Notamacropus eugenii: one gene and its partners. The protein of the gene in region 2 purifies or fractionates together with the protein of the main gene of each other region. This does not show direct contact. Links are inferred from orthologs where the notes say so. Each region holds a gene or a part of one and is shown on either strand. Other genes may lie near its edges. The genes, in order: MAX, L3MBTL2, LIN54 and RYBP.

Region 1 (7,691 bases), on a different chromosome or scaffold from region 2:
GTTACTCAGACTGTTTTCTCTAGTCAAGCTTATTTTTTTTCCCTACCAATCAACGTCTTTATCTTTCGCATGGCTCCCAGAGAATTATTAAATTCAGTTTCACTTTCTCTTACAGTTAGTTTTATTTCCTACTTCATGTCAGTTTCTAAGGTCTCATGAAACAGGATTTTCACACCTGTAAAACTTAATATTCTCTAAGTAACTTTTAAAACTCTCACAATATGATCAAATTTTTTCCTGTTATTCCAGCTTGATTTTCCTTCAAAAGTCAAGGCCTAAAAATGGTTGCTTTATAATGGGAATTTCTTTCAGCTTAACAAAAAATGCCCAGGCCTTGAGTTTTGGAACACATGATAGGAAGGGGAATTCTTATTCCTCTACCAGGTCCTAATAGTTGTTTGTGATACTGAAAAACATGCTTGTAATACTGTTGTGATTACCTTGTGCAAGATGTCTGAAAGTCTCTGCAAGCCAAATTAAAAAGAAGCCAAAAAAAAAAAAAAATCAAAGGGATAAACTCTAGATATCTTAACACTTAACCAAAGATTAGATGTTAAGGTGCAGAGAAGTACATTTTAATCATTTCATGTCCATTTAAAATCAACACATCAATGATTTTAAAATGAAAAAGGGCTTGAAAAAGCAACTTTCTCTCAACAAAGAAAACTGTTTTTTTGCTGAAAGCCCATGACTAGTTGTTCTAAGTAAGAGTCTGGAAAAGACGTTCTTCAAGGGCTCTTTTGCCCTTCTTACCATCCTTCATTTGGGGGCCATTTTCAAATCGCATCAAGGGAATTCAGGAGAAAAGTGAAATATTTTTTAAAATTTTGCTTAAAAAAGTACAATGTTAAAGTGGATATACTGTTAAGAAGATTTACAACAAAAAATCCAAAATAAGGAATCTTTCAGTCCACTAAAATGAATTTTTGTTGTAACAAATGACAATCAGAAACAGTTTTTAGGTCTAATAAAATAATTACATCCTGAGATTTCTCTTAATATTGTTTAAATTCTTCTGAAGCCCCAGATCTCTGGAAAAGATTCTGAATCCCGGTTTGTTCTGTTAAATCAAGTCTTAACTCAGCAAGTTTCTCTTTTTAAAATAATTATTATTCCTTACTGCTTCCAAATGCAAACTATCAGGGACTCTGTTGTGCTTCATTTCCCTTTCCCACTCTAATCTCCTTTTCTCTTGTGCCCCACAAAAAGTCTCTTCTCCCCACCCCCTTCAAATTCACTGAACACTTCCAGGTTTCTATCAATTTAAACTACATATCTACATCCACGGAAGCAAGTATCAAATACATTAATACAGAAAACCAAAGAAATGATCTAACACATTTTCTTCTGTCTTGGCATGCCTTTCTTCCACACCAACTACAAAGCTTTTCCTCTTTAGTTTCAAAACCTACTTCAACCCATGGGTCTAGAGCAGTGACATTCTGCTACTGTTCCGGTATGTGCAACTTGTGGCTTCAATTTCTGCATTACATTCTGATGTAATACTGCTAAGCCCTTTAAAGAATACAGTATTCATATGGCTCTTCATTTCTGATAATCACATGTGCCTCCAAAGTAACAATGGTTTAAAAGCTATTTGTCTCCAAATATTCTCTAGGCTGCTTTGCCTTCAAATACTGACAACAACTGAATTCAGAGCTTCTTCCATTTCCTGAATCCAAACAGTGGTTCTACAGATCCCTTGGATTTGATCCCTCAAGAATGAGATCCTTTCCTATGGACAAAGCTCCTCCCACTCACTCAGCCTCAATGGAACCTAACACCTGACAATCTAGAATGATGAAGTTTGCAACCCTTCTCCCCATCTAGAACCCCCGACGTAGGTCCCCACCTCACCTCCAGCATTTCACAGTGCAGTTTACCATCATAACATTGAAAGTAACAGAACTCTCTCTGACCCCGAAAAGGATTAGAACTGAACGGAAATGAAAATGAAATGGAGAGAAGGAGACGTACCGCAGATTGAAACCTCGGTTGCTCTTCCTGGAATAAGAGAGAGAAAAATAGAAAATATAGAAGTTATTTTTACGCTTCACATTCAAAAATAAGAAAGAAAATGCCGGCGGTGAAGGAAGCAGGGGATGGGGAGTGAGCCCGACCCTCCTCCCTTCCCCCCAGCCGGGGATCCCGTGCTGGGCTGGGGGTGGGGGGCGTGTGTCTTGTGCGCCGCCCTTTCTTCCGGGATCCAGCCCAGCCAAAGGGGATGCGCTGGGGGGAAGGGGTCCTGAATGCCCCCGTTCGTCAGCCCATGCCAAGGGCCTTCTGGGCACCCTAACTCCCCCCCTCCCCCAATAGATAAAGGAAGAGGGATCTTGAACGGGTGGGGGGGGGTCGGAGGAAGGGGCCTGAGCACAGTCCCCGTTCCCTGGATCTGGACAATGGGCTGCGGAGTGTACCCCCATCCCGGCACCGGGCGGGGGGATCAGGGAGGGGGGTAGACTGGCCCTGGTGAGGCTGCCCCCCCCGCGGGGGTGAGATGAGGGAAGAGTTGGGGGGAAGGGAGGATTCCCCAAGGCCACTCCTCCCCATCCGGACTCCAGAGGCCGTGGTGGCCGGGCGAGTGAGGAAAGTGCCCGGACCGAGACGGCGACGGCGGACCCGTCTACGGAGGGGAAGGGCGAGGAGGAAGCGGCCCGGCCTCTGCACGCCGCACCCCCGTCCGGTTCCGTCTCTGGCCTCTGGCCCCGACCCCCAAACAGACACACACGGGAAGGAAGAAACCCCGGGACTCACGTCGCTCTCCACCTCGATGTCATCGTTATCGCTCATTTCCTACGGCCCAGGGAGCGGCCACTGCAGCGGCGGCTGGGAAAGGGGGAGGGGTGGAGGGGAGGGGGAAGTCAGGGACAACAACAAGCCGGGCCGTACACGCTGGCTCGCTCGCTCACTCACTCCCTCACTCACTCCCTCACTCACACACACATTCACACACACATTCACACACACACACATACACACACACACTCACACACAACAAGGCTAGAACCACCTCCTCACTGCAGCACCGGATCAACGGCGGCACGCACGCCCGGCCCACCCCGCCCACGTGACCGGTCTCCGCCGCGCAAGGGCCGCTGAGACTTGGAGTCCACCCCTCTTCAGCCGCCCAAGGACCGAAGGTCCAGGAAGAACTACAAATCCCGTTAGGCACGATCAACACTCAGAGCCTCTCCGGCTTGTTGATGAGAACAAGAGCGCCTGCGTGTCCCGCGGAGGAGGGAGGGAGAAAGGGGAGTGTGAAGCCTTCTGGGAATTGTAGTACTCGGCGTGGTGGGGGTGTGGAGCGAGTTGTCAGGAGGTTTTTCTCCCAGGGCAGCCGTAGAGGCTGCTGGGTAAGGAGAGGACACGTGGAGGCTGCTGGAGCTCCGGGAGTGGAGTGGGGTGTCTGGGCACGCACGCTTTGCTGGGCAGTAGGCCTGCGGGAGAGGGTGGGGAAACCTCTCACGCACGCAGCGCGGCGCAAGGGCGTCCTAATTATCTCACATCTCTGTGGTTTTATAATTGGCCTTCTCCCCTGACTCACCGGCCACGTGTTGCAGTCATCTAGGTGTCACCCTGGGTTGGGGCTGCAGGGAGGAACTCTACGGAAGGGAGAACCCGGCTAGCCATAGCCTGTTTGTCCCTAGGATTTAGAGCCTGGGCAGAGGCGTTAACCATTGTAGGTGAGAACTGCAGCCCGGAAGTGGGAGCCTTCTGTCTCAGACCCAGAATCGCTGGTCCTGGGAGCCTGAGGCTGTGTGCGTCTTTACTGTTTCCGGTGTGTCCCAGGAGGTCCCAGAATGTTACAGTCTCCGTGAAATCCGTCCAGTTTTAAAATACACTGAAAGGAAATGACCACCTTTTAATTTTTAGGACACCTAAAGGGAGGAAAGCGGCAAATAAAGCTTGGCCCAAGGTGAGAAGTGGAAACTGATACTGGGTCATTTGGAAAGACCCTGATGCCAAGGCCTTTCTTGAACTCCCTCTCTCCCCCAACCCAGTATTTTATACACGCTTTATATTGCTTAAGTACCTGTTGTATCTCTCCAGTAGTGTGTAAACTCCTTGAGTTCAGGGAAGGACTGTTTAATTTTTGTCTTAGCATCCCCAGCAGCCCCTAGAACCTAATAGGTGTCTTTCAGGGGTCAGAATTGGAACCCTGAATAGGGTTAAATAATAATTTAAATTTAAATAATTTAAATTTTAAAAATTAAATTACTAAATTAATACATTTTACTTATAAAATTATTTGTAAAGTGAGAAAGTAGCTTGAAGGACCATGGTGTAGTGGCAGGAGTCGAGCTATGGAGTCCAATGATGTGGTTTTGAAAATTACTTTCAAACCTTACCTGTATGATTCCTTAAATGAAAAATGGAGGGATTGAACTAAGTAACATCTGAAGTCTCTTCCACCTCTGAATATATATAGTACCGTGATCTGCCATCTTTTCATTCCAGAGGATTCATCTGAATCCAGAATCTGTGATTCCAAATTCAGTGCCTTTGCTGCTGTGACATGGCAATGTGTTTGATACATTTAATTTAACAAATACTTTATTAAATCTTGTGCATATTCATTCGTTTTTCAGTCATATCTGACTTCGTGACATCATTTGGGGTTTTCTTGACAAAGATACTGGATTGATTAGCCATTTCCTTCCCTAGCTCATTTTACAGATGAGGAGCTGAGGCAATCAGGGTTAAGTGACTTGCCCAGGGTCACACAGCTAATAAGCTAAGTGTCTGTGGCCAAATTTGAACTCAGGAAGATGTCTTCCTGACTCCAGGCGTGGCACTCTATCCACTGTGTCACCTTATTAAATATTAACATATACAAAAGCTAAACAGTCCTTCAGGCTCACATGGTTCTACCAAACTTTCCCCCAAATGGAGCTATTTTAATAATAATAGCTAACATTTACACTCTTATGATTAAATATGACCAGGAACGTTTATGTCTAAGCCAGAGTCACACAGCCATACACTAAGCCTCCTAGTAGCTTCCCAAATACATTAAATGCTTTAAAATATATGATTGATCTACCACTATCCATGGAGACAGCAACTTGACTCAGCACTTTCTCCCAAGTGATTGTTTTCTCCATTTTATAACTGACTTCTCAGTTTTTTTAAAGTGTCTAAATCTCACCTTTCTCCAAACTGTTCAACGGTATTTGATCTCATCATTAAATGAAAGGCTAGAAGAGCAAAGATCCCAAAGCATGAGATCATAAAATTATTTCAGGGATGGCAACCTAATTAATCAGAACTAGATATATTTTTAAGGTTTTTTTTTTTTTTTAACACTAGTAGTGTTAGAACCTTCTGTAATGAAATGACAGGTCCAGACCCTCCCCTGTAAAAACAAGTAAATCCTTCAACATTTATGGAAAGAGTGAATAGGAATATCAGTTCAGACTAACCTGGCTTTATCATCTGGTGTAACATGAACCTCCATCAAAGCCCCACTTGTGTGTTTCATTCTGGTGTGGAAGTGGCACTGGATTCTCAAAGTTATGCCAACCTAGTACAAGATCTAGAAGGTCTTGTCAAGTTGGAAATGTTTCAGCTACAGGATTGATTAAAGACATGATATACTTACTGTATAAAAAGCAGACTAGCTTGGAGCTTTGGAGAAGCTTGCAACCAAATGGTTGACCTAGTATTGATTTTTTTGGCCACAGGAACCTGCTAAATCACCTAAGTTATAGAGGAATTTGATCTTCAAAAGTAGGAGAAATAGTGAGATGGCTGAAATCACAAATCCCTGAAATTTTGAAGTAAGTAGACTGTGAATGGTGAGTGTTATCTATCAAATTGATAAGTAATATTTAAATAACACTTGAAAGTATGAAGAATGCATCTCCTACCTCATTTCATTTGATCCTTAGTCACAGAAGTAAATAATGCAAATAATTTCCTCCAATTTACAGAGGAGGAAACTAAATCTTAGGTAAAGTGACTTATCTGAAGTCTCACAACTAGTAAGTGTCAGAGGCAGAATTTGAGCCTACAGCTTCTCTGACTTCAAATCTTGCTCTCTGCTCCACTATACTGCCGGTTCATACTAGGCTCCCAGATTAAATAGATATTTTGTTGTGTACTTATGCTTCGTTATGGTTTTTTTTTTTTTTTTTGGACCAGCAAACCATTATTCATCAGGATAATATCTGTACTTTATAATTATATCTGCCTTTTGAACTAGACATTTCTACTCTAACATGCCCAAGTGATAAATCACTGATGTCATATTTAGTTTTATGATTGACAAGGGCTCCTTGTTTGTTTTAAACCTGTGGTGTTTCAAAGACCTCACTGACAAGTTATCCTCTCCTAGAAGGCCAAGGTGGGAATATAGAGATTATGTTGTCTCCTGAAGTACTCAGTTTCCTCCCAGTTAGAGCTTGCTTATATGACTTAAGGTTCACCTGGTTGATGTGGAATTAACATTCATGTGGTAGATGAGTAATATATCCTCCAGAAGCCCAAGAGGCTATTTCCTTAACACAGTGATACTATACCAGGGTGCTTGATAGTGGTGCAGATCTCTGCTAATGCTTTTCTGTGAAGACTGTTTTTTGGCATACGTGCCTGAGAATTTTTTGGTCAGTGTGGAGAGCATGAGAAAGCTTCAAGACCTAGTTTATTCTCAACCTCAGTTGGAGTCCTTAAAGTTACTTATTTGGCTCTTATGTTAAAAATAATTTGTTTTGTGACAAAAATACCAACAAAAGGTGTGAAATCAGTTCATTTAAACTGCTTTATTGATACCTTTATAATCTTTTATTAATAACTTTATAACAATCTTTTTTTACTCATCCCTCTAGATTAAACCCAACATTGCAAAACAACCCCCAAACAACCCAATTAAACAGAAACATTTGTGTTATCCCAATTGTTCCTCCACCTTTCTGCCATAATTAAGGAGGTTCTTCTTTGGGAAGTTTGTTAATTTTTTTTAATTGATGCTTTTTATCTTTACATGATAGTCACTTTCCTTCCTCTCCTCCAGATGGAACCCTACCTTTTTGATAAAGAAAAACAGGTAAAAACATCCAGTAAGAAAGTCGTGCCTGATAATAAATAAAATATCCTAATTTAATAGTCACCTTCCTCTCTGCTTTGAGGAAGGAGGTATGCAACATTGTCTTTTCTCCAACACCTTCATTTTTAATGAAAAATATTTATTATGAACTTATAAATCATCAATAAACATAAATATTTCAATATACAGAGAACAGAAAAGAGGATTGTATATGGAACTGGCTTCTGTTTTGTCCAGTTCATTTGAAGTATATGAAAATTTTAAATTAAAATTTTTTTTGTTATTCTATACTTGCCATACTCCAATTAACATAAGCATTTCCATATGCAAAGAAAAATAAATGAAGAAAATTGTGTGTAAAACCATAAATCTCCATTGCAAATAACAAATTCAGTGTGTTAATTTTAAAGCTGTTTTGCTAGTCTACACCTCCCTCTATGTATGATATTTTTTCCCATGTGTGAGACCCTTTTTTCATTTCTTGTTTTTGAGCATCATTATCAGTAGGCCTTCCCCCCCACACCCTGTCTGTCCTCCATTAAAAAAAAAAACAAAACTCAACACCCTGTCTCGTGGCAAACAAGCATAGTTCTCTATGCAAAGCAAATATACACATTGGTCAAAATGTTCTCATACGTGTATATCG
Region 2 (7,974 bases):
ACCCCTCCCAAACATGCTTTAACATAGGACCCATGATCAGAAAATGGAGGGATAATTTTATGAGTCTGCTTATATGCATGAGGTTCATTAAGCAAGCGCAGTGAGGAAAAGTTTTCTCCAGGTTATTCTAGGTCATTTTTCCTGACTAGTTCAGGCTGGTTTCAGACCTGGATATTCTTATAAAAATTTCTGTGACTTTCTGAAGGCCAGTCTGTCTGCTGATTGGTTGAGTCCACCTGTAGTCTGCTAACTTTCTTATTATCTGGCTTATTCTCAGTGACTTCATCAGCTAATAACTTCTGTGGAAACTTAATTTTTTGCATCTCATATTTTCAATTAAAACAGTGAAGAAAAGGGGATGCAGAAGACCCAAGTGTGTTTTCAAAGGGTTCAATCTTAGCCTCAACAAAGAGAAGACTCAGGGAATTTCCTCTCAGCATCGCCTGGAGTTATGCCATCAACAAAAGAACCGAACAGCCATGGCTCCTGTCATGAGTGTCCCAGATCATGTTATACGACCAGGCTCCCTTTCACCCACCTATTTCCCAGACCAGGATGATAACAGATGTAGTAGCCGTGTGCCTCTCTGTTTGGGTAATAATAACAATAGCTAACGTTTATACAGTGCTTGCACAGCTAGGTGGTGCACTAGGTAGAGTGCTGAACCTGGAGGCAGGAAGACCTGAGTTCACATCCCACCTCAGACACTTACTAGCTGTGTGACCCTACGCAAGTCACTTTCCTCATCTGTAAAATGAAATAGAGAAGGAAATGGCAACCCGAAAGGGGTCACAAAGAGTAAGACATGACTGGAAAAAAAAGGCTAAAAATATACTGTTTACTATGTACTAGGCATTGTGCTAAGTCCTCTACAAATATTATCTTCCTTGATCCTCCTCACAACAACCATGGGAGGTAGGTGCTATCATTATCCCCCTTCTACAGATGAGGAACCTGAGACAGACAGAAGTGAAGTGACTTACCCAGGGTTACATAGCTAGGGAGTATCTAAGGCTGGATTTGAGCTCAGGTCTTTCTATCTCCATGCTCTGAGTCTAGCTGTTGTGCTCCAGATCAGAGTTAAGAAGCTGTGCAAAGTTGCAAAATTGTTTTTCTTCACAAATAGTTGTAGTCCTTTTATCAGCTAGTTCTGCCCATCATGCTGCATCAGTTCATACCATCCAGGATTCTCTGAAACTGTCTCTTTGTTCATTTCTTATGGTGTAACACTATTCTATTACATTCACAAACAGCAGTTCTTTTCGCCATTCCCCAATTGTCTAAGAGGCAATATGATACACCCCTGTAGAGTCTATTTTTTTCTCCTTTGTTTTCCACCTGCAGGATGAGAATATTTATTTGGTTTATGATGTTTCCCTCTTCAACATCATTCTCTCTCTTAATCTCCACCACTTTTTTTCCTCCTCCAGTTGAGATGGTTGGTGTTGAGCCTGTGTGTGTTTTCCATCCTCCTTTTTTTATTTTGGGTAAGAGTGAGGTTCATTAAACACCCACTTCCCCACCCATTCCTCTATGTTTGTATGTCTTCTCAACCCCCACAATTAAATGAAATAATAATTTCTCCCTTTTTCCTCCTTTTAGACACTAGTACAGTCCTCTTTTTACTCTCTCTCTTTTGGCAGTTAGTCCAGTTTGACTGAAACAGTGTGTTGAGGGGACCATGCCACAGTCTGAAGGTATTAGTGGAGTCAGAGGGGCAAGGCTCAATGACTTTGAACAAATTATTTTCCTTCTTTTGAACCTCTGTAAAATGAAGAGAGTTGAAAAAAATATTTATTGTGCTAAATACTGAGGATACAAAGAGAAAATTGAGACAGTTCTTGTTCCTAAACATCTTTGATTCTAACTGGAGGTAGAAAGCACAGGATAGGAGGATTCTGATGCAGGACAGAAGGCAATCTTATTAGGGTGCTGCAGCAGGGTGGATGGTAAGGCCTAGTGGTCTTCTTCATAACTGGGAGAAGAGGATCTGACCATTCAAGGACCAAATTCGATGATCCTATACCATAACCTCACTCTACATATTTAGTCTTTTCTCACACTTTTCCACTCATTTTGTCTATGAGCAGTCAGTCTGGACTATGAGATATACTGAAAATATTGTGCTTTTCTGCCTCTAGGCCTTTGGTCAAGCTAATTTTTGTGCCTAGACAGATCTTCTTCTCCTTGTTCCATTTTTGAATTCCTTTTGAATTCATCTAATTCAGATACTCAGAACTGTAAAGCAACCTGGCATGTTGAATAGGGCATTGCATTTTGAGTCAGGAAGACCTGGGTTCGAATTCCACCTTTGATACTTACTAAATGTATAATCTTGGGCAAGTGATTTAATCATTCTGGGTTTCAGTTTCCTTACCTTTAAAAAGATGTTGGAATCCATGGTTTCTATTGTCCCTTCCAACTTTAAATCTATAATGTTATGATCTACCCTTTATGGCACCCAGAACAGGGCAGGCAGCACAGGATTTACCTGGTTGCTTCTGTGTCTAGCCCAGAGGAGCTTGCCTGGAGAACAAATAGATCATTATGTATTTTCATTATTTTCATTTTCATTATCTATTTTCATTATCTATTATCATTATTTTCAAGTCAGTTCAACAAGTATATATTGAGTGCCACCGTGTACCACAGACTGTGCTAAATGCTAGGTATACAAAGAAAGATAAAAGACAGTCCCTGCCCTAAGGGAGTTCACAGTCTGTTGGGAAAGACCACATGCAAACAACTATGAATGAGCAAACAAGTTACAGATTGGATAACTTGAAGATAATCAACAGAGGGAAGGCACTAGCAATAAAGGGGGATGTGGAAAGACTTCTTGTAAAAGATGGGATTTTAGCTGAGGCCTGAAAGAAGCCAAGGAAGCCAGGTGGCAGAGATGAGGAGATAGAACATTCCAGGCATGGGGGAATAGCCAAAGAAAATACCCAGAGTCTGGAGATGCAGGTTCATGTGCAAGGAACTGCCAGGAGGCCAGTGTCATCAGATTAATGAGTGTGTATCAGGGGACCATTGGAAGGGTAGGACAGAGCTAGGTTACGAAGGGTATTGATTTTGTATTTGAGCCTGGAGGCAATAGGGAGCCAATGGAGTTTATTGAGTAGGGGATGACATGATCAGACTTGGGCTTTCGGAAAAAATACTTCAGTGGTTAAATTGAGAATGGATCGGAGTGGGGAGAGATTTGAGGCAGACAGACCCATCAGCAGCTACTACAATAGTCTAAGCATAAGATGATGAGCATCTGCATGAGGGTGGCGGCAGGGTCAGAGGAGAGAAGGGGGCATAATTCTGCAGAGGTAAAATCATCAAGACATGCTGCAGCGATGAAATCAACAAGAGGTGCTGCAGAGGTGAAATCAACAAGAGAAGCTGCAGAGGTGAAATCAACAAGAGATGCTGCAGAGGTGAAATCAACAAGAGGTGCTGCAGAGGTGAAATCAACAAGAGAAGCTGCAGAGGTGAAATCAACAAGAGATGCTGCAGAGGTGAAATCAACAAGAGAAGCTGCAGAGGTGAAATCAACAAGAGAAGCTATAGAGATGAAATCCACAGCCCTTGGAGACAACTTGGATATAGGAGGATGAGAAAATCCAGGATGATTTGGAGATTGGGAGGCTGAGGGAGAATGGTGATGCACTCGGCAATAATAGGGAAGTTAGGTAGATTATGAGAGGCAACAGGCTCAATGGGCAGAGAATAATCCTGGGAGTCAGAAAGACCTGAGTTCAAACCCTGTTTCTGTCTCACATAACCCATATATGACACTAGACAAATCTATTCACCTTATTGCCCCAGACAGCTCCGAACCACTATAAATTACAGAGAAGGTAAAGATCTGCATTGGTGGAGGGAGTTTCTTCATTGGAAGGTGAGTGAGAAGAGGAGCGAGGCCAATGGAGCAGAGGCAGCTATATTCTACATGCAAAACCACAAAAGAGCTCCTTTTCTTGGTGGTGGTGGGGGTGGGGGTGGGGATCACTGTCAGTAATCTATACACTATCCAAATGGTAGAGTGCAAACAATACTGAACTTGGAATCGGTGCGACTTGGCTCTGAACCTCTTCTCTGTATTTATTAGCTTCATTATTTTGGACAAGTCTCTTCCTCATCCTGTGCCTCACTTTCTTCCTCTGTAAAATGAGGGGGGGTTGCACTGGATGGTGTCTCAGGTCCCTTCCAGCTGTAATTTATAATTCTTTAATTTATAGGTCATCTATAATCTGTAATTCTATGAATTGATCTTGAGTCAGAGCACATGGCTTTAAATCTTGGCTCTGATTTTTCTAATAATGTTATCTTGGGTAAGTCCTTTCCCCTCCCTAGGCCTCAGTTTCTTCTTCTGCATAATGAGGAGGCTGGTCTAGACTGGCTGCTGAGATCCCTTTCAGCTCTATCTCTAGAATCCATCACTTTCCTGGACCTCCATTTCAGCTTCTGTATAATGAGGGTCGCTGGCCTAGACAGACTCTGAGATCCCTTCCAGTTGACGCCCTAGGATCCCTTCAGCTCCCTGAACCTCAGTTTCCCCCTCTGCATAATGAGGGGCTGTCCTACACCGCCTCCGAGATCTCTTTCAATCCAAAGACTGAAGGCTTTATCAGCCTATGTCCTCTCAGCTCCGTCCCGCCCCCTTCTCACTCCCGGGACTACACTCCCCACAAGGCTTAGCGGGCCTATCTAAGCACGCGCCAGGATGTGGGCGGCCCTTCCTGCTGCTCTCGGCGGCGACTGGCCTGGCGCCGCGGGACGGCTACCAATGGGCTTCGTGCGGGCGGAAGGCGCGGCGGCCATGGCGGCGGCGGGCTCGCGGTGAGGGCTTCGGCTTGGGTTCGGGCTTCGGGCTTCGAGCCTCGCGGCCTAGGCGGCCTCATGGAGCGGGGCCTCGAGGTGAGCGTGCTCTGGTCGGGGCCCGGCCCGGAGAGCCCAAGCGCCCCCTGGGGCCGGGCCGGGGTCCCCTGCGCAGGGCGGAGGAGTAGACGGGGAAGGGGAAGCTTTGTCCCTTTAACGGTGGGTAAACTGAGGCACGCGCAGTCGCAGAGGCGGGGGACCGAACACGTGCTTGCTCCCGCCGCAGAGGCGCCCGCGACCCTTAGCCGCGGTGACCTCGCAGGCCTTTTACAGAGAGGGAAACTGAGGCCCGGAGAGGCCTGGCCCGGCGTCCGGGGCCCTCGAGGGAGGCTGGCGCGCCCAGGCCTAGGGGGGCCTGACTCTTCCTTAGCAGAGGGAGCTCCCAGGGGAGCGCACTCCCTCCGCCTCCCCCACCCGCGGCCGTGGGCTTCCCCGGGGGGCCCCGGTGGGGGAGGGGGCGGGTCAGCCTGGGGGAGCCCCCCCCATACTTAGCGAAGCCCCCCGGGGCCCCCAGCTTTGGGCAGAGGCCGAGACCCAGCCAAGGTCACCCAGTCAGAGCTGGGCCTCGGATGGGCTTTCCCGGTAACCGGGCTTGGCATGCAGTAAGTGCTTAATGAATGCTGCTTGGCCCGCCCCGCCCCGCCCCCCGGGTGCCTCTTTTTGTTCCTGTCCTGGATACTAAGACCAGAGCTTCGCCGACTCCCATCGCTCCGGGCACTGGGCCGGGCTAACATCCGTCCGTTGGCCCCACGGGGTGGCGTTATTTGTATTTATTGTGCTTGTCATCATTTGTTTGACCCCACGTGGAGGGAGGGAGGGAGGCAGTCAGTGTTAAGCACCTGCTGTGTGCCCCACGCAGAAGTCAGAGGCCCTTCCCAGCCTGCCGTCCCTTGGCGGCTCTTGTCATCTCTGCAGATGTTACTGCAATGACCCTCTCTAAGAACTGGAGGGGATTGGGGGCTTCTTGGTAGTCACCTAGAAGGCTTTCCAGGTACAGTTTTAGATTCCTGCACCAGGGGTATCCTGGTTTAATTCACCCTTTTGTGCCTTAAAAAATAGATTTGCCCGAGTCACCCTCCAGCAGCGTCCTTGGTGGGTGGAAAAGAAATAAGGGTGAGCAGAACCCCCAGACATGGCAAGGCCCACAGTGGAAGTCAGGAGTAGGCTCCCAGCTTTGGTGGGGGGGTCTTTAGGGTCACTCCCTCTTCCCTTGGGCCCCTCCCTCTGTCTGCTCCTGAGCCTCTGGGCAGGCCCACTGCTCTGCACCAGTTCCTATGAGTCTTTTCCAGGTTTTCTCTGCATTTGTCGTCTATGTCATTTTCCATGTCACTCTGCATGTCCAGGCCACCTTTGGTTCCGCCACACCCCTCTTGGGCCCGCCGTGCTTTCCTGAAGAGCTGGGACTGTTTTATTATAGGAGGCACCTCTGTTTCTGTGGTCAACCTCTCACTAGTGGGAGGCCTGAGGTGGGAGTTGCAGCTTTGGTCAAATCATTTAAATCTGTCTTCCCGAACAGCTCCACCAAGACTGTATTGGGGTCCCCCGCCGACAGGGACCGGTCTCTTCCTTTGTCATCTTTGCCCATTTTATGACTCACATGTCCAATAAGAGTTACTTGAATTGGCTTTTCTCTTATGATTAGTGATTTTGGGCTTTGGGGAAGGCATCCATGTCCTTTCCCCTCCTCTCTTATTGCCCTACCCCAACTGTGGAAAGGCCCAGTTGGTCACCCCCTCACACCTGGTTTTGAGTAAGCTCAGTTTTAGACAGTGTATGAGGAAGTGTGCCCAGAGACAGACAGACAGACAGACTGACAGACATACCCACCTCTTCCTAATCCCTTGGTTCCCTTTATCATTTCTTAGACCTCTGTCACTTAGCACAGCTAAGTGTGTAGTTCTTGTGTTTGTCCTTCTTGAAGAGGATCATGACGTAACTCCTGCAGCAGACCTTGATTTGAGTGAGAGGGCTGTCCAGTTATTCTGATGAGTGTCAGGCCACTAGATCCAGATGGCTCAGGAGATGAAAGTGCACAGCCCTCCCTCACTCAAATCAAAGTCAGCTATAGTGTATTGAGTGGTAGGGACTCAGTAAATACTGGGTAACTTCACTTGTTGACTCAGCTGTTGAGTTGGGGGTGGGGAAGAAGGGGTATTAATGGTTGTGTGTGTGTTTTCACATCACCCTCCTTTCTGAAAATGTCCCCTTTCTCTCCTGCTTCCAACGTGAGCTCTCCCTTGTCAGAAAGAGTCACCTTTTTCATTGTCCATATGGGACAGTATTTCTGGGACCTTTGAGGGGGTCATTGGCGGGGAACCAGAGACCCAGTGCAGAGGCCAACCTGGGGACCTTCTCTAAGCCTCCTCCTTCCCTGCCACACCCAGGTGCTCAGCAAGCATTTATTAAGCACCTGCTCTGTGCCAGGTGGGCCCTATGTGCCAGTCCTCATGCCCAACCTGTGGAATTCCGAGGAAGACAAAAGGCAGGCCTGTCCTCAAGGAGCCCACGGTAGAACAGCAGTCTGCCGTCCTCACTTTCTGTTACTTTCCCACCAGGAGACACCCTCCTCTGAGAGAATGGAAGATGAAGAAGAGGAAGATGAGGAGGAGGAGGAGGAAGAAGAGGAGGAATTGGACCTCTTTGGGGACTACGACACCTTCCAGGGCTACACCAGCAGCCTGGGCAGCGAGAGCAGCTCCTACCTGGAAGAGTCCAGTGACAACGAGAATGAGCTGAATGACCGAGAAGCCGGGGAGCTCCCCACATCTCCTCTGCTGATGCCCAGCCCCATCACCCCTCGCTCCCAAGATGGCAGCGGTTCTGAGCCAGGTGCTTTCCAGGGCCCCTGAGGTCATGGGCCAGGCCTGTGGAAATATCCCAGCCTGGTACTCCCTGGACAAGTGGTCTCTGCTCTCAACTCCCTGTGACAGGACGCACTTAGTGCACCCTGAGGGGCTGCAGAGGAGGTTGAGCTGGGCTGAACTGGAATCTCTTACTATTCGTGATTTTGAGCTTTTTTATTATGGTGATTGATCTGTCTAGTCCAGAAGCCTCCGGCTCCTGCTAAAACCGGACTTCAGGCCTTATTCCTTGGGTTGTGCC
Region 3 (7,926 bases), on a different chromosome or scaffold from region 2:
TGTGCTGTGAATTGAAGTATTCCTAGCCTGAGAACCTCCAACATAACTCCATGGCAGTAGGGGTTGAAGGGATTCCTGATTCTTTGTTTAAATTGTCTGGCCAATATTGAGAAGTAAGATAGGAAGGGGACAAAAAGGAATAGGAGGGAACAGAAGGGAATAAGGATTTCTATAGCAGGGCAGCGAGGTGGTGCAGTGGTTAGAGCACTGACCTACAGTCAGGAGGATGGGAGTTCAAATCTGACCTTATACACTTACTAGCTGTGTGACCCTGGGCAAGTCGCTTAGACCCCAATTGACTCCAAAACAGCAACAAAAACAAAAAATTAAGGATTTATATAGTATACACTAGTGCTAGTTTGAATTTGAATTGTCTTAGGAAGATTCTGTGGCAGGATAAGGTACCAGACACTGAGGTCCTTACTCGAGCTAAACTTCCATGCACTCAAACTATGCTTCAGAGAGCACAATTCTGAAGGGCTGGCCACGTGGTTTGAATGCAAAACATATGCTTGCCAGAAAGCATATTTTATGGAGAACTCACACAGGACAAGCATTCACGTGGTGGTCAGAAGAAGCAATAGGAGGACACTCTCAAGGTCTCTCGTAAGAACTTTGGAATTGATAGTGTGAATGGGAGACACTGGCACAGGACCGCCCAGCATGGCATGCCCGCATGAGAAAGGGTGCTGTGCTCTATGAGCAAAGCAGAACTGAGGCAGCACAAAGGAAATGTAGGATGCGCAAATTTAGAGAATCCATCCCAAATGTTCACACGGACTATCTGTGCTCGGCCTGTGGCAGAGCATTCTGAGCTCATATTAGCCTGATCAGCCACAGTCAGACACATGGAAACTTGACTCCACGGAGATGTCATCTTGGTTCTCCTTGAAAACAAAGGACAACAACCAACCAACTATTGCTAGGCACTTTTGTAATTAATATCTCATTTTATCTTCATAACAACCCTATGAGGTAGGTGCTATCATGATCATCATTTTGCACTTGAGTAAACTGAGGCAAAGAGAGGTTAAATGACTTGTCCAGTAAATGTCTGAAGCCAAATCTGTACTCGAGGTCTTCCTAACTCCAGCCGAGTGCCAGCAGCCTCTAAGTCATCCTGTAAGGCTCACCCTCCGTCATTCAAGAAATTCTGGGCTTCAGGGCATTTTTGGTCCCATTGTAATACCTAAGCACATCGGACAATCTCCTTTATTAATGAGGAGAAGAGAGTTTTCAAGTAGTTGCCTGGTGAAGAAATGGTGTGGAGCTCCCTCCTAAATTCACCTGGCGCTGATGTGATTAGATTTCTGTTGTAAGGTCAAGGGTTTTCTTTCTTTTGCTCTTCCTTCCTTCCTTTCCTTCTCTTTCTTCTTTCCTTCTTTTTCTCCCCTTTTCTTCTTTCCTCCCTCCCTCCCTTCTTTCCTTCCTTCCATTCTTGTTAGGGGTACTCCAGAGTGAAGAGGCCTGAGGGAAGTTAATTCTACATGAGATGGCAGGTGCAGAATGGTGGCAAAGTTGGCCGGAGGCTCTTGATCCAGCCTTCCAAACTTAGTTTGTCATCTCCCCATGAAACCTTTTCTGAATCCTCACTCCATTTCTTACTTATCTCTCCTCAGAGTACCTATGACACTGACAATCTGTAACATATGCTTTAATACTGCTTTTATAAAAGAAATTTTTACTGAAGTATCAGCGACATTTTTCCTAGCGTTCTTTCTCCTCCCTTTTCTAGAGAGCCATTTCATAAACCAAATATTTTTAAAGAGAAAAAAATCAACAAAATTGATCAATACATTGAAAAAGACTGATGATATGTGGAATATCTGCTTTTAATTTCATCACTTCTATTCTCTGATTTCCATTTTATCAGTTTCTCTAATTTTCAATATATTTTTGTTGGTTTTCAGTTTTTGAGAATTTCATACTCTAGTCACTAATTCTCCTTTTATATTTTGTTAATATATGGTTTTTGAGAAATAATTTTTCCACCTCTTGCCAAGGAGTGGCTGTGAGCATCTTCTTATAAACCTTTTGAGAAGCAATGATTGTTCTTTGTTCAACTTGTTCAGCCTTTTCCCGGTTGATGGGCATTGACTTAGCTTCCAATTTAGAAAAGTACCCTAAAAAAATGCTGCCAATAAATACTTTGGTGGATACAGAATCTTTCTTCTTATAAATGACCTCCTTGCCTTGTGCTATATGCCTAATAGTAGAATCTCTGGGTCAAAGACAATGAACATAATTCCAAATTACATGATTCCAAATTGCTTTCCAAAATGGTTGTACTGAATCACAGACTTCACCAACAATACCTTAAAGACCCTATCTTCCCTAAACGCCTCCTCTGTTAACTGTTCCCATCTTTTGTCATCTTTGTCATCTTATAGATGGTAAACTGAGACCTCAGGCTTGTTTTCCTTTTTTCTTATTGTTAATCATTTGGAATATTCTTTCATATGGTCATTTGTAGTTTGCGGTTCTTCTTTTGAGAATTGTTTTTCCGTATACTTTGATCAGTTATGTAATTGATGCTAGTTGGCAAAGTAGATAGAACGCTGGCCCTGGAATCAGAAGGGTCGGAGTTCAAATCCAGTCTCTGACACTTACTAGCTGTGTGATCTTAGACAAATCACTTGACTCCACCCTGTTTGCTTTAGTTTCCTCATCTGTAAAATGAGCTGAAGAAGGAAATGGCAAAGATACCAAAGTGGGGTCATGGAGGATCAGACACTATGGAAACAACTCAATAACAATATGAACAAAAGTCATTCCCTACTTGAGGGTCATATCAGCAAAACGCTGCATAACAGCAACATTCTATGTATAAAGAAAATACAACTGCTTTTCTGTTTTTATTACACTAGCATGATGTAATATACAATAATACAATATAATGCAACACAATATATTTTATACCGTTTTGTTTTGTTATTCATGTGAGCATATCTCGTCTTCTCAAAGTAGATAATACGCTGCTTTAAGGTGAACATCATGTTTTATATTTCTTCTGCAGTCTGTTCAGTGCCTAGTGTGGTACAAGGTATTCAGTAACAAATGTCAGTGGATTGAATAATTAATCTCTGCTGTGAATTCATTTCTCCATTTATTAGACTAGGTTAAAACTATCTTCTATCACAGATCTATACCTTTTTTCCCCACCTCCAGTCTTTCCCCTTTTCAATCTATCTTCCCCATAGCTGACATATTTACAGTCCTAAAACACTGTCAGTCCCTTACCTGGAATGCATTCCCTCTTCACCTCCAGCCCTTAGAATCCGTTCCTTCTTTCAAAGTTTAACCCAAGCCCCAGTTTGTTCTCAAGACCTACGCTGAACCCCTCCCCGCCCAGTAGTTTTCACCCTCCTCACTGGAAATTATATATAGTTTGTTTTATATATGTGTGTGTATATACATATATATATATATATGAAAGGGTAGTCATGTTTTCGTTTTTGTATCCCCAGTCCTTAGCCTGGCACATAATAGGTACTTATTAAATGAATGAAAATTTATTCAAATTCACACTATTTGGAAGTGTGAAATGGATATTAATTGGTTCCAGCACTAGGGAAATATGCAGCGCAAACTCGAAATAATAAGAAGCCTTCTAGGGATCCGTTATTCACACTCTTCAGAACCTAGCTATATGTAAAAATGAAAAGCATATATATTGGAGACAAAGAAATTCCCTAAAAATAACTGTCACCGATATGATCTTGGGCAGATCAGTTAACTTCTCTATACCTCAGTTTCCTGAAGTGTAAAACGGAGGCAGCCACATGGGGGCCGTGTTCCTGGCGCCAGACCTGGGTTTGAGCTGCCTCAGACACTCACTCGCTGTGTGGTCCTGGGCCAGTCATTTAAGGGTTCTCGGTCTCAGTTTCCTCTGCTGATAAAATGGGTTGCTGGGAGGACCAAGGGATACACAAGCGTCTACGTAAAGCCCCTTACAAACTTTAAAGCGCTGTTATTGTTGCTGCGGTTGGGTTCGTCCTTCGTTTTCAGAGAAGACCAGGACATCAGAGAAATGATGACGTGACTTGCACTGGACTTTGTTTGGAGGGAGGGAGGCTGTGCAGGAGCTATTATTGTTAATACGATGAGCGGGGGCAGATCGGGTCGGCGAGCCCGCGGCGGGCCTCATCGGAGACCCCAGGTGCCTCGGGGCTTTCGGGCAGGTGGATTCTTTTCTCCTCCCGTCCAATCAGTTTAGCGACCAGAACATAACGCTACGAAGCTGTTCTTACTGTTAGCCATCAGTCCCACACTCTCCTCGGTCAATTGCACGGTGGTTGGGCGGGGGAAGGACCACAGCCGCGGAAGACTTCCTTAAAAGGGAGTGTGTGGGGGGGAGCAGGAATGGTCTCTTCCAACTGCGATCTTCCCCCTCCTCTCTCACTCCTATGGAACATTCCATCCCAAAGCTCGAGCGCACGCTCCTAGTCACGTGGTGACCTACGCCCAGCGTATTGACGACTCTACGGCCGGGTTGCCAGGGGAGGGAAACGGCGACGAGGGAGGGAGGGGGAGCGGTGGGGGGAGGGCTCAGCCTATTATGGGATGCGGCGGTGGAATGGCGCTGGGCGCGTGATTTTGAACAAACCTGGGTCTGTGTTTCACAGGCGCCGCCGCCGCCGCCGCCGCGGCTGCCGGGAGCGGAGGGAACGCGGGGCGAGGAGGAGGCGGCGGCGCCGCCGGCTGTGGTGGGGGGGTGAGTGTCAGCCCCCGGGACGGGGGGGGGGGGAGGCGGCGAGGGAGGGGGGACGGAGGAGGGGGAGACCCCGCGACTGCCGGGGATGGGGGGGTTGTTGGCGCGCGGAAGGGGGGGGTGAGCTGTCAGTGGAGGGCCGGCGCCAGCGCGGCTGCGCGGTGTGCCGGGCCGGGCCGGGCGGGGCCGGGCAGCGACGGGCAGCGACGGGCAGCGGCGCGGCGCCCGCGCGGGGGAGGGGGCCCTGCAGCCCGCCCTGCGCTCCTGCCCCTTTGTGTGCCATGGCTCCCCTCCCTCCGCCGGGACCTCCCCTTCGCCTCCGAGTAAAGTTTGGGGAAAGAAACGCTCCTTCCCTGCTGGGGGGTCTCCCCCCAAAGCAGAGAGCTGCCCCGCGCCCCAAGCCCGCGAGCGTGCCAATCCTGCCCGGCTGGTGTCAGAAAAAAGGGAGTGACAGCTGGGGGCAGCCCCTCCCTGCCCCGCCCAAACCCTTCCCTTCCCCCTAACCCCGCCGGAACTTCGGGAGGGTGGGGGAATGGCAGACCTGCTCATACCATAAGTAATAAAATTGATAGTAAAGTTCACCTTGGTGTGGCGCTTACTGTGGGGGAGGCACTGTGCTGAGCGCTGTACAGCTTGGACACGGACACGGTCACCTGTGGGTGTTTGTGTGTGTATGTATGTATGTATGCATATATACACAGATAAAATAACAGTGCTTGTTATTTTATAACACAGCACAGTGTGCTGTGTGCCAGCCACCGCGCTGGGGACATGCAGCTTATACTATGTGCCAGGCACCGTGCTAAGCGCTTTACAGTTGTTATTTTTATATACACATAATGGCTAACAAACATACGTATATATGGGTGTATGTGTATACACCATATATAAAACAGTTAACATAGGGCCTACTGTGTGCCAGGCACTATGCTAAGTGCTTTACAGCTAATGCACAGACACATGTACATATATGTGTGTATGTATACTTATTCATATATACACAGACAGAAAATAGCTAACAGGGCCTACTATGTAGCCAGCATTGTGTTAGGTATCTTACAATTTATATACATACGCATAAAATAGCTAACATAGGGCCTACTACGTGCCAGGCACTGTGCTAAGCGCTTTACAGTTTATACAAACACACACATAGACATATGTATGTATGTAGATACAGCTAACATTTGTAATGTTTACTATGTGCCAGGCCCTGTGCCAAAGGCTTAGCAATCTGACGTGTATATGTATACACACATATTCATGGCTATATATGCTCATGCATGTCTATGTCTATATGCACTTACATACTTTATATGTGAAGCACCTGCCATATGCCAGGCACTAGCGATCCAAACATTTCTACTGAATGTTGTAATTCAACATAATTTTCTCTTTGGTTGTTGATTATCTCCCACTTTTCCCCTGTAGATTTTGGTTGAACATAGTTTTCATGTTGTCTCCTTAGTGAGACTGGGAGTTCCTTGAAGGTAAGGATTGTTTTTTCCCTTTGGGTTCCCTGCCGTTAGCAAAATGCCTGGCTCGTAGTAGGCACTTTTATCGGTGCCTGTTGACTGGTTTGCAGCTAGAGGTTGAAAAAAAGAACGCTTCTTTGTATTTGAGTCGATCTTCGGACTGCATTTAGTAAGAGAGGCTAATTAGGGAAACTGACATAATCCGGAGGTTTTGTGTATGTTACTGTATCGGTGGCAAATGTGTATTTTAAGTTAGAATTTGATACTATGGAAATGATTGTCAATTTCAGCTCAGGGTAGATTTCCCTTTTTTAAATCAACAATGTTAATAGCTTTTGGATCAGATGGCGATTAGGTTTACATTTCTTGAGGTCCGAAAGCGACCCGGAAGGTTGAACAGCAGGTCTGTTTTATGGGCAGGAAGGAGTAAGTCAAAGGAAGTGGACTGGGGACTGATCGTCTGGAACGTGTAGAAAGTATGCATTTTAAAGATGGGATTTTGGTGACCCCGTCTGTCTGAACCCGCCTTGGCCAAGGTCCCGCCCTCTCTAGGCTACCCCAGGAGCTGGTCCTTTCCAGCCGGGGGAAGGGGGAATGTATGCCCTGAAGGTGTTAGCGAGCTGAGGTGGTCATGGAGAAACGCGCACAGCTCCCGCTGGCCTTTCCCCTTGGAAACTTGAAGTTTGGGTCGGGGGAATCCCTCCCGGCCTCGCGCGGCTTCCTACCCCAGCCCGCGGCTGCCGGCCGGCGCTCGAGGGCTCGGCCCGCGGCGCGTTTGAAGGTTGGCGCGGCGCGGGGGCGTGTCCCGGGCGGGGGAGGGGCGCCGCAGAGCCGCCGCGGGCCCGCGCCCGCCGTGCCGCCGCGCCGCCGCGCTTCTGATGACGACGTGAAAATGGCGGATCTTTCGAAATCCAATCCCGGCCCCTGACATCCCGGCGGCGGCGGCGGCAGCGGCGACAGCGGAGGAGGAGCCCGGCTGCGCCGCGAGCTGCCGGCCTGGGACACCGGAGAGCCCCCGCCCTGAGCCGCCCGGAGGTGAGGGCGATGCGCCGCCGCTGCTGGGCGGGCAGGAGGGGGAGGGGAGCGGAGCGGAAGGGACCGGGCTGGAGGCCCCGGGCCGGGCGGGCAGAAGGGCTGGGGGCCCGGCTTCCGAGTCGTGCGGCCCGGGTGCCGGAGCAGCCGCGGGGCCGGAACCCCGCGGTCAGCCGCGTGTGTGGTGCCGGGGGCGAGGGGGGGTTGTGGTTGTTGTCGTTGTTGTTGGCCCGGGAGCGGGACGTCAAGTGCGCGGCGGGGGGTGGGAGGCGGGGTGACCGGGCTCCTCGGACCGGGGGTTTGAGGAGGTGACATTGGTCGTGCGCTGGGGCGACGGACGCGTCTGGTGCGCAGACCCCGGGCCGCCTCCCCCGTGTAGCCGGAGGAGCAGCTGCCCCGAGGTCTGTTGGGTCTTGGCAGGTCAGCGATCCAGGCTGGCCTTGTCTAGAGGAGCCGTACCAGTCCGGGTTCTCCAGGTAACTGTCCAGGGGCCCTTTACAAGGGTGCCCCACTTTGCCCCTTTGAGTGGACTTCTGAAAAACTGTAGTGGTCCCCAAGAGCCTACTCTATTGCTCTCTCTTTCCTGAAATTCGTTTACTGCGGCTCCAGAGCGGTCCATTTAGTCAGTAATTATACCTGGTCGAAACGAATGTGTTCCTGTAGCTGTGACTTCAGTGACTTCCCAATATTGCAGATTGTAACCCATTT
Region 4 (7,430 bases), about 150 Mb from region 2:
ATCTTAAGTCCCTTATTAGAAAGTCAGCTTCTTGAGGGCAGGACCCTATTTTTACCTTTCTTTATATCAGGAGTGCTTTAGCACAGCATCTGGTGAATTATAAATGCTTGTTAACTGGCTGATTGATCTTTATATATTTAAGGATTGCAAAACACATGGCATGTATTATCTCCTCTGAGACTCACAAGAGTCTTGTGAAGGAGATGATACAAATGTTATTAATGCCATCTCACAGCTGAGGAAACTGAGGTTCATGCCTAGTACATTGCACACTGGAACCCAGGTCTCTCCTGATTCCATGTTCAGTGTTCCTTCTGGTGTGATGAAATTTGTACTTCTGAAACTCTCTATGATCATCCCATCAGTTACAGCAGGATGATGGAGGGAACACACAGTGGAAATCACAGATCCTTGAGGTATTGAAGTCTAGGTCTGCTGACTGTTTGCACAGTTTATATAGTAGCTCACCTCAAAAAAGCTGCTAAATGTCAAAGTCAGAGAGTAGCTGAAGTAGCACCAAGAATTCAGCCGAAATTTCCTCCAGTTAATTTGCTCATCTGAATCATCTCAAGATATCCCTAAGTGAAATGAGCCCAAGTCTCCCCCGTTACTTAGTTGCTCTGAGACATAGTTCCCCTTTTTAAGCCCCCAGAGAACTATTTGGTACAAAATAAATATTGTCTTACAAACTAGAATTGAATTCTTAACTTTTTCACATCCATTCTATCACTGAGACCCTAACCACACCAGAGCATTTCAGAATGTTCTCTTATTTAGGATTGATCAGTTTCCCAGCACAAATGCCCAGACCCCTCATCCCAAAATTATTTAAACTTTTATAATGCATCTATATCTTTACATCTAAAATATTAATTCCAATTAGTGTAAAAATCCTTGAACAGGGCCCTGTTTATTTTTTAAATGTCATTTTCTTGTCAATGGCTGATATCATTTTTAACGTGGGTGGGGTATGGGGCCAGTCTGTGGTGTTCAGGTTAAGATTCTCAAGCTTTTACCTGTTGGTAATACCTTTGTTAGTTAATCCAAGGTTTAAAGTCCAAGACCCAGGATATTCAGAATTTTATTCCTTTGTAGAGGAGTGTTTTCAAATGTAAAGTTGAGAAGCAGTTTTTGCAATGTGATAGTTGGTCTTCTAGTTCTTTCCTCTGTCTCCCTTGCTCCTGCTTAGGCAGGGCTGTTCCTGGGCAGAACTTGGAGGGCTTGGGCTCCTGGCATATTGCTCAAGCTGCCTGGACCATCTTTCCTTTCCGTTTTTTTTTTTTTTAAGGGTGTTTTTCCTTTGTCTTGCCTTTGGTGTGAGCTATGTTCTACACAACAATGGTTGCAAGTTGTCCCTTTGGAGTAGAATTTGGTGAACTCTATCCCCCTTCCTAAACTTGAGCTCAATAAATAAAAGGGGTCACTCAATAGATCACTCACTCTCCCTGGCTCATTTTAGGGTTCCTAAGACCGGACAAGCCTCCAAAGCTATAGCGATCTGCTCCCAAACGAAACAGGTGCCTATTACCATGACAGCAAGCACCTCCCCCAGCCCAGTGAAACTAAAAACTAAAAACTACACCATCATTTTATATTCTAGCCTATAGGTTTGGATTTAATTCAACAGACTTTTACTGAACTCCTACTATGTGTAAGCCACAGTACTAGGTCATAGTGATAGAAAGACAAGGAAAAAAAAACCAAGACTGACAAGGTATTTGTGTACCAAAAGTTTCTCAAGGCTAAGTTTAACTAGTATCTACCATTGAAATAAAGGTAAATAAATTATCCATCAACAAGGCCAAGTGCAGCAACGAGTTAACTACTGACCAGGGACTTAAAAAAAAGTCTACCATTACTGAGACACTATAGTTAAAATGAGGTAGTTCTTGTGTGGTGTGGGGACTCTCTGTGAAAACTTCAGGACAATAACATCTTTCCAGGACTGTTCTGGACACAAAATGTTCACAGCACCACTCCCCACCCCCTCCTCCCCACCTTCTATCTGTTTTCCCCTCCTCCTCCTAATCCCTTTGTCCCTCTCTCACTTTTTTTTCTTCTTCTTTGGCATCCTTGGGCAGGAAGGGTCACAACCCTGGTCGTTCTCTGAACTAAAGAGGTTGCTGACCCTTGCTCTAAACAGGGACGGTATTTCTCCGGCTGGGTGCAGGGTGTGCCTAGTTAGAGTACATCATGTGCTGAATAAGCTTATCTTTGACACACTCCCTCCCGCCTCCTTTTATTTCTTCCTTTACCAGCCCCCCTACTTCCTCCTCCCCTACAGCTCCTGCTTCAGATGGATGGATGGGAAGGCTTCCCTCTTGTCCTGATTGGGTTCTCCTTCTACTGAATACCAATTATAATAATAACACCCTGTGCATAAAGGGTCTAATCTCTAAGGAACTCCAGAGGGCACCCAGCAGGCCCGTCCTGGCTTCCCAGTCTTCCAAATCTTTACTTTTCTGGAAGAAAAGTATTGCCTAAAGAAATGCATCACTTAATCTCTTGGCTCCCCTGGAGGAAGGGTATTACCAGGAAGGTAAAGGGTAGTTATATTTCTTTAACACAATTATAATTCTATTTATAATGGATTCTAAACTCCCCCCCCCCCCCCATTAAGGTAGTAGCATCCTTACTTAAATTCAAGGGGATTGGGACAAGCACGGTTTACGTATTAGTGGGTTACAGCATAGGACCTAGAGTGGGAGGGGACTGCCAGATGCCAATCTAATTGTACAGGGCAAGCTTTATGTACGTGATCTTATGCGAACCCCACAATCACCCTGGGTATTATTATCTCCATTTTACAGTCCGGAGGTTGTGCTCAAGGTCACCCAGCTGCACTGGGATTCAAACTCAGGGCCTTGGCCTCCAGATCCTGCGTTCCTTCCATGGCACCCCCATATCAGAGGCAGAACCTGGATCCGAATCTTCCCGACCCCACGGATTCCAGCCAGAAATTTCCCCCTGCCCCTTTACAAAATGATTTGGCTCCAACTGCCCTTAAGGAGAAGCTTTCCCAGAAAACATAAAAGCATCGAAGGGGCGCAGCACAGCACCAGACGGACCCCTGCCCATCGCCCACCCACCAGGATGGTGCAGAAAGTGCCCGGGGAGGGCAGAGCGGGGGATTCCACCAGGCTGAAGTTAGGGGAAGGGAGCGCTGGAGGCCGGCGTGTCTGCCCCGCTCCCCTCCAAACGAGGGCACCCTCGTCCGCCCGGCTGGGCGCAGCCTCGCCTCCCTCCTGCCCGCGGGCGTGCATCCCCTCCGGCCCCGCGGCGGCCGCCGGCCAGGGTGGCCAGCCCGGGCCGCTCCTCCGCCAGGTGCGGGGCCAGGGGCGCACACGCACGGCCCGGCGGGCATGCCCTGCGCTCTGGGGGCAGCGCGGCGTCCACACCCGGGTGGGGGTCCGACCCAGCGTCCCAGGGCCCCCACGCGTGTGCGTGCTCGGACTCGGCGGGGGGTCCCTGACAGCCCACGCCTCAGGAGCCATGCCATGCCGACTCCTTTCTCTCCCTCCCTCCGTCCGTCCTCTCCCCAAGTCTGGCGGAGTCTCGGCTTGCTCCTGCCGGGGCGCTCGAAGCCCCGGCTACGTCCTCTTCCCCACCGCGTCCCCTTGGGCGCCCTGGCTTACACGAGAGTAGGAGGGGGGCCTGGGGTGCACGCGGGGCCGGGAATGCTGAGCTGGGGGGGCGGGGGACACACGCAGACGTCCCCTACACAGATGTACACACAGCTCTGCGTCCGGAGACGCACAGACACGTGCACGGACACATGCACAGACAAACAGACACACACACACACACACACACACACACACACACACACACACACACGGCACCGCAGGAGGGCCAGGCGCCGGTGCAAGCGCACACAACACACACACACACAGCACAGAGGCGGGCTGAACCCTAAGAAACACACACGCACACGCATGCACACACAAGCAAAGGGGCCTGGGCATGCATGCAGACATGCATGCATGCACGCACGCACCCACGAGCCCCCCCCACCACCGCGCACACGTCCGCAGCTCTCTCCCCCCGCCCGCTTCTCCCCCTTCCCTCCGCTCCCCCTCCCCCTCCGTTCGGAGCCTCCCCCTCCCCTCGTCGGAGGAGCCGCGCGCCGCCATTGGTCCGCCGGGCTGGTGACGCGCGGCGCTCGACCCCGCCCCCAGTCAGTCACTCGGCGGAGGCGGCGCTGGCGGGGACTAGTCTCGTCCGGAGACTGGCAGCGGCGGCGGCGGCAGCAGCAGCGGCAGCGGCAGCGGCAGCGGCAGCAGTAGCAGCGGCGGCGGCCGGAGCTCGAGCCCGGGCGGCTTCGGGGGGGGGAGGCGAGGAGGACGGCGGCGGCGAGGACGGCGCAGGCGGCGGTGGCCGCGGCGGAGACGCGGCGGCGGGCGGCGTTTCGTTTCTCCTCAGCGCGGCCCCTGTTGTGCGGAGGGGGGGGCGGGGGGAGAGCCCATCCATGACCATGGGCGACAAGAAGAGCCCGACCAGGTACCTGCTCCCGCCGCTCGGGGCCGGGGCCGGGGGGAGGGGCGGGGGCGCGAGCCGCAGCGGGAGGAGGAGGCGCCCACGACTAGGCCCCGCCGCCGAGCCCGGGCCGTGGCGGCGGCGGCGCGCGCGGTGGGGGGGGCCCGGAGGAGGAGGCGCCGCTAAGATGGACGTCGGCCCGGGGCGGGCGGCGGGAGGCGGTGTCTGCCGGCCTGCCTGCCCGCCCGCCCGCTTGCCTGCGGGGCCGAGCGCCGCCTCCTCCTCGGCCGCAGCCATGGCGGCTCCTCTTCCCCGACCCTCCCAGACAAAGGGAACGGCTTCCCCAGGTGGGGAGGGAGCGAGGCCCGAGGAGGACGCCCGGGAGGGGGTCCCCGCCCTTGTCGGGCCTGGGCCACGCGCCACGAGTGGGCCGGGGAGGAACTTCGGGGGGGGGGCCGCTCCCGTGAATTGGGATTTCTCACCCGCGCGTGTGTTTGTTGTTCTCCCCACCCCTCCCCCTCCCCCCACTCCGCGAAGGCCAAAAAGACAAGCGAAACCTGCGGCCGACGAGGGATTTTGGGATTGTAGCGTGTGCACCTTCAGGAACAGCGCGGAAGCCTTTAAATGCAGCATCTGTGACGTGAGGAAAGGCACCTCCACCAGGTACCCCGCGGCCCCCCGCCCCCGACACACGCACACACACAACGCACACGCACACGCACGCACTTGTTGATCGGTCGTGCCTTTTACCTGTGCCTGACTCATGTTGCTGTCGAGAGCGTGGGGCGCACGCTCGGAGAGTCTGCTTTTTTCGGTTTCCTGTGAACAGAATTTGGACCAATATTGTCATAATTCAGAGTTTCCAATTCTTTTTTTTTTTTATCCCATTTCATAAATTGAGAACCAGCGCAGGGGCCTGAGCCCTTGACTTCACAGACGGAAGCACTTCTTTTCTCCTACACGTCTGTGGGGAGTGAAACGGAATTTTCTTTTTGTCACGGGCGGAACGGTTGGGTGTGTGCCAAGCCCAGGGAGGCTTTACGGGAGGATCCCCGAGCACCCCGCTTGTCGTCCCGTAAAAGCCGCAGCACTTGGAAGGGCTGCGGCCGGAGAGGCAGCTGAATTGGGGCTCTTTAAAGGCTCGGCGTCGGGGCTTGTAAATTGCAACATGGTGAAACTGATCAGGCTGTAAATACTGTCGTGCTGGCTTTGTGCCAGGAGTAGCAGCTCGGAAAGTTCTTGGTGGTGGCATACCCAGTCCTGAACGGTGCCGACCCGGGCTCTGGCGAGCTGGGCTCTCCTAGGTGCAGGTTTTGTGTGTGTGAGAGAAAATTGGGAGAAACTCCTGTGGTTGCTTCGGAGTTTTTTGTTTCCTTCCCTGTTGTCTTTGAACAGAATTTGGTGCAGTGTTATCATAATTTGGAGTTTGAGTTCAAACTGTTGTGGTCCTCATTTGATGCCCAGATGTTTGTGTATATTCTGGGTTGGTACTTGGAGTGGATTGCCAAAAAGTGGGTCGTTTTACCAGGTGTCTGTTTTGTTTGGGTGGTAGTCCAGTGTGACTGTAGTATTTCAAATGCATAGCATTCGGTAACTTGCATGGCTTCATGATTAAAGACTCTTCTTTATGTAGTGCCTGTAATGTTGTGCTTTGATTTTTATACTTGAGGTTAAACATAAGTAGTTGGGCATACTTTTAAGCTTATAACTTAAGACTTAGTTTAGATTTAAGTAGTATACTTGAATAAATAAATCACCTTGAAAAAAGAAAGAAAAGTGGACCACTGAAATTGGTTATTTTAAGAGCTGATTTTCCCTAGTTTTTGGTGGTGTTCATCATAACTTTAGGAATATATTATTCTAGATTGAATTTGCTTTGAGGCGGAGGAATATTTTTTTTCAGTTTCTTAAATGTAGATTTCTGTCAAATGCCATTAAATTTTGTACGTTATTATTATAAGCAATAGCATGTGGATTATTTCTTTACATGTAAAAACCTTTATTGTGGTTTTACTTTGAGGGTTACTGTAAATGATGGGTGTAGTACAACGCAATGACTGGGAAACTCTTGAACTTTTTAAAAAATAGATTATTATTGTATTGAAACTTAAACCAATTAGTTTACATCTGATTTATTGGTGAATGAAAATATCTCGTAATCAAGCACATTTTATTGTATTTTATGTTTGGATAAAATTTGAATGTCAGCTTTTTATCCCCCAAAGTCACAAATCATGACAGTACAAATTCTGGTTATCTGTATTTTTTGCCAACCTTGTGTGTACTTAAAATGCTTGTTGAATTGAGTAATTTAATGCTCGGTCTGTTCAGACAGTAAATCTTTAAGGGATCATAATGAAGAATTTGAGTTTTGTAGTGTGAACTTTAGAATAATGTCAAATGTTTAGTAGCATTTGTGTCTACACAAATTTAATTTGATAGCATACTATATAGTGTTGGTATTTTTATATAATTTCAATAATAAACCATTTGAGTTAATCCGAAGTCTCTTTCAAGTCATGGCATTATTATGTGATTTGTGATGTAACTACCCTGGTTCTAGTCAGGCTTATTGCCTGCCCACCCAGTGGTGGTGTTTTCAGGTCAGAATTATTCCTTGTTTTTGAGGTTAGAGCTACTCTAGAAATTATAGTTAATTGGAATGCAGATAGTATTTTGATAGTATTGTAAAGGCTATGTGGAAGGGGCACGTTTTACTGGATTTCAGTCACCAAGTGCAGCGTTTTAATGCTTGCTTATTTTCTTGGTGATGGTGGTGGTGGTTGTGTTTGTTCCTTTTCTACCTTCTTTCCTTGTTATTTTTAGGGACTTAGGATGATGTACGAGCACCACAGTTGGTAGTTGATGTACTATTTTCCTTGTTTGTTGCTGTTGCCTGAATGGTTGAAAAAGAAATGTGTAGAGCACTCCATTTAAAATCCTCATAATGTCTA

The links.
Region 1: the proteins of L3MBTL2 (region 2) and MAX purify together in Homo sapiens (affinity purification with mass spectrometry; 6 studies listed by BioGRID and IntAct, with this or other methods). This does not show direct contact. The link is inferred for Notamacropus eugenii from reciprocal best matches to the Homo sapiens genes L3MBTL2 and MAX.
Region 3: the proteins of L3MBTL2 (region 2) and LIN54 purify together in Homo sapiens (affinity purification with mass spectrometry; 3 studies listed by BioGRID and IntAct, counting the BioPlex papers as one, with this or other methods). This does not show direct contact. The link is inferred for Notamacropus eugenii from reciprocal best matches to the Homo sapiens genes L3MBTL2 and LIN54.
Region 4: the proteins of L3MBTL2 (region 2) and RYBP purify together in Homo sapiens (affinity purification with mass spectrometry; 5 studies listed by BioGRID and IntAct, counting the BioPlex papers as one, with this or other methods). This does not show direct contact. The link is inferred for Notamacropus eugenii from reciprocal best matches to the Homo sapiens genes L3MBTL2 and YAF2.

Annotation. Positions count from the first base shown.
Region 1 is NC_092872.1:315,998,768-316,006,458, reverse strand, and holds the start of MAX (protein max), read right to left. Parts: upstream 3,201-7,691; 5' UTR 2,791-3,200; coding exon 2,755-2,790; intron 2,005-2,754; coding exon 1,978-2,004; intron 1-1,977. UniProt on the Homo sapiens protein: Transcription regulator. Forms a sequence-specific DNA-binding protein complex with MYC or MAD which recognizes the core sequence 5'-CAC[GA]TG-3'. The MYC:MAX complex is a transcriptional activator, whereas the MAD:MAX complex is a repressor.
Region 2 is NC_092874.1:300,262,540-300,270,513, forward strand, and holds the start of L3MBTL2 (lethal(3)malignant brain tumor-like protein 2), read left to right. Parts: upstream 1-4,726; 5' UTR 4,727-4,893; coding exon 4,894-4,911; intron 4,912-7,427; coding exon 7,428-7,701; intron 7,702-7,974. UniProt on the Homo sapiens protein: Putative Polycomb group (PcG) protein. PcG proteins maintain the transcriptionally repressive state of genes, probably via a modification of chromatin, rendering it heritably changed in its expressibility.
Region 3 is NC_092878.1:150,599,147-150,607,072, reverse strand, and holds the start of LIN54 (protein lin-54 homolog), read left to right. Parts: upstream 1-4,546; 5' UTR 4,547-4,563; coding exon 4,564-4,714; intron 4,715-7,078; exon of another isoform or gene 7,079-7,221; intron 7,222-7,926. UniProt on the Homo sapiens protein: Component of the DREAM complex, a multiprotein complex that can both act as a transcription activator or repressor depending on the context. In G0 phase, the complex binds to more than 800 promoters and is required for repression of E2F target genes.
Region 4 is NC_092874.1:450,827,398-450,834,827, forward strand, and holds the start of RYBP (RING1 and YY1-binding protein), read left to right. Parts: upstream 1-4,253; 5' UTR 4,254-4,468; coding exon 4,469-4,500; intron 4,501-5,013; coding exon 5,014-5,139; intron 5,140-7,430. UniProt on the Homo sapiens protein: Binds to MYC and inhibits MYC-mediated transactivation. Also binds to MYCN and enhances MYCN-dependent transcriptional activation. Increases calpain 2-mediated proteolysis of YY1 in vitro.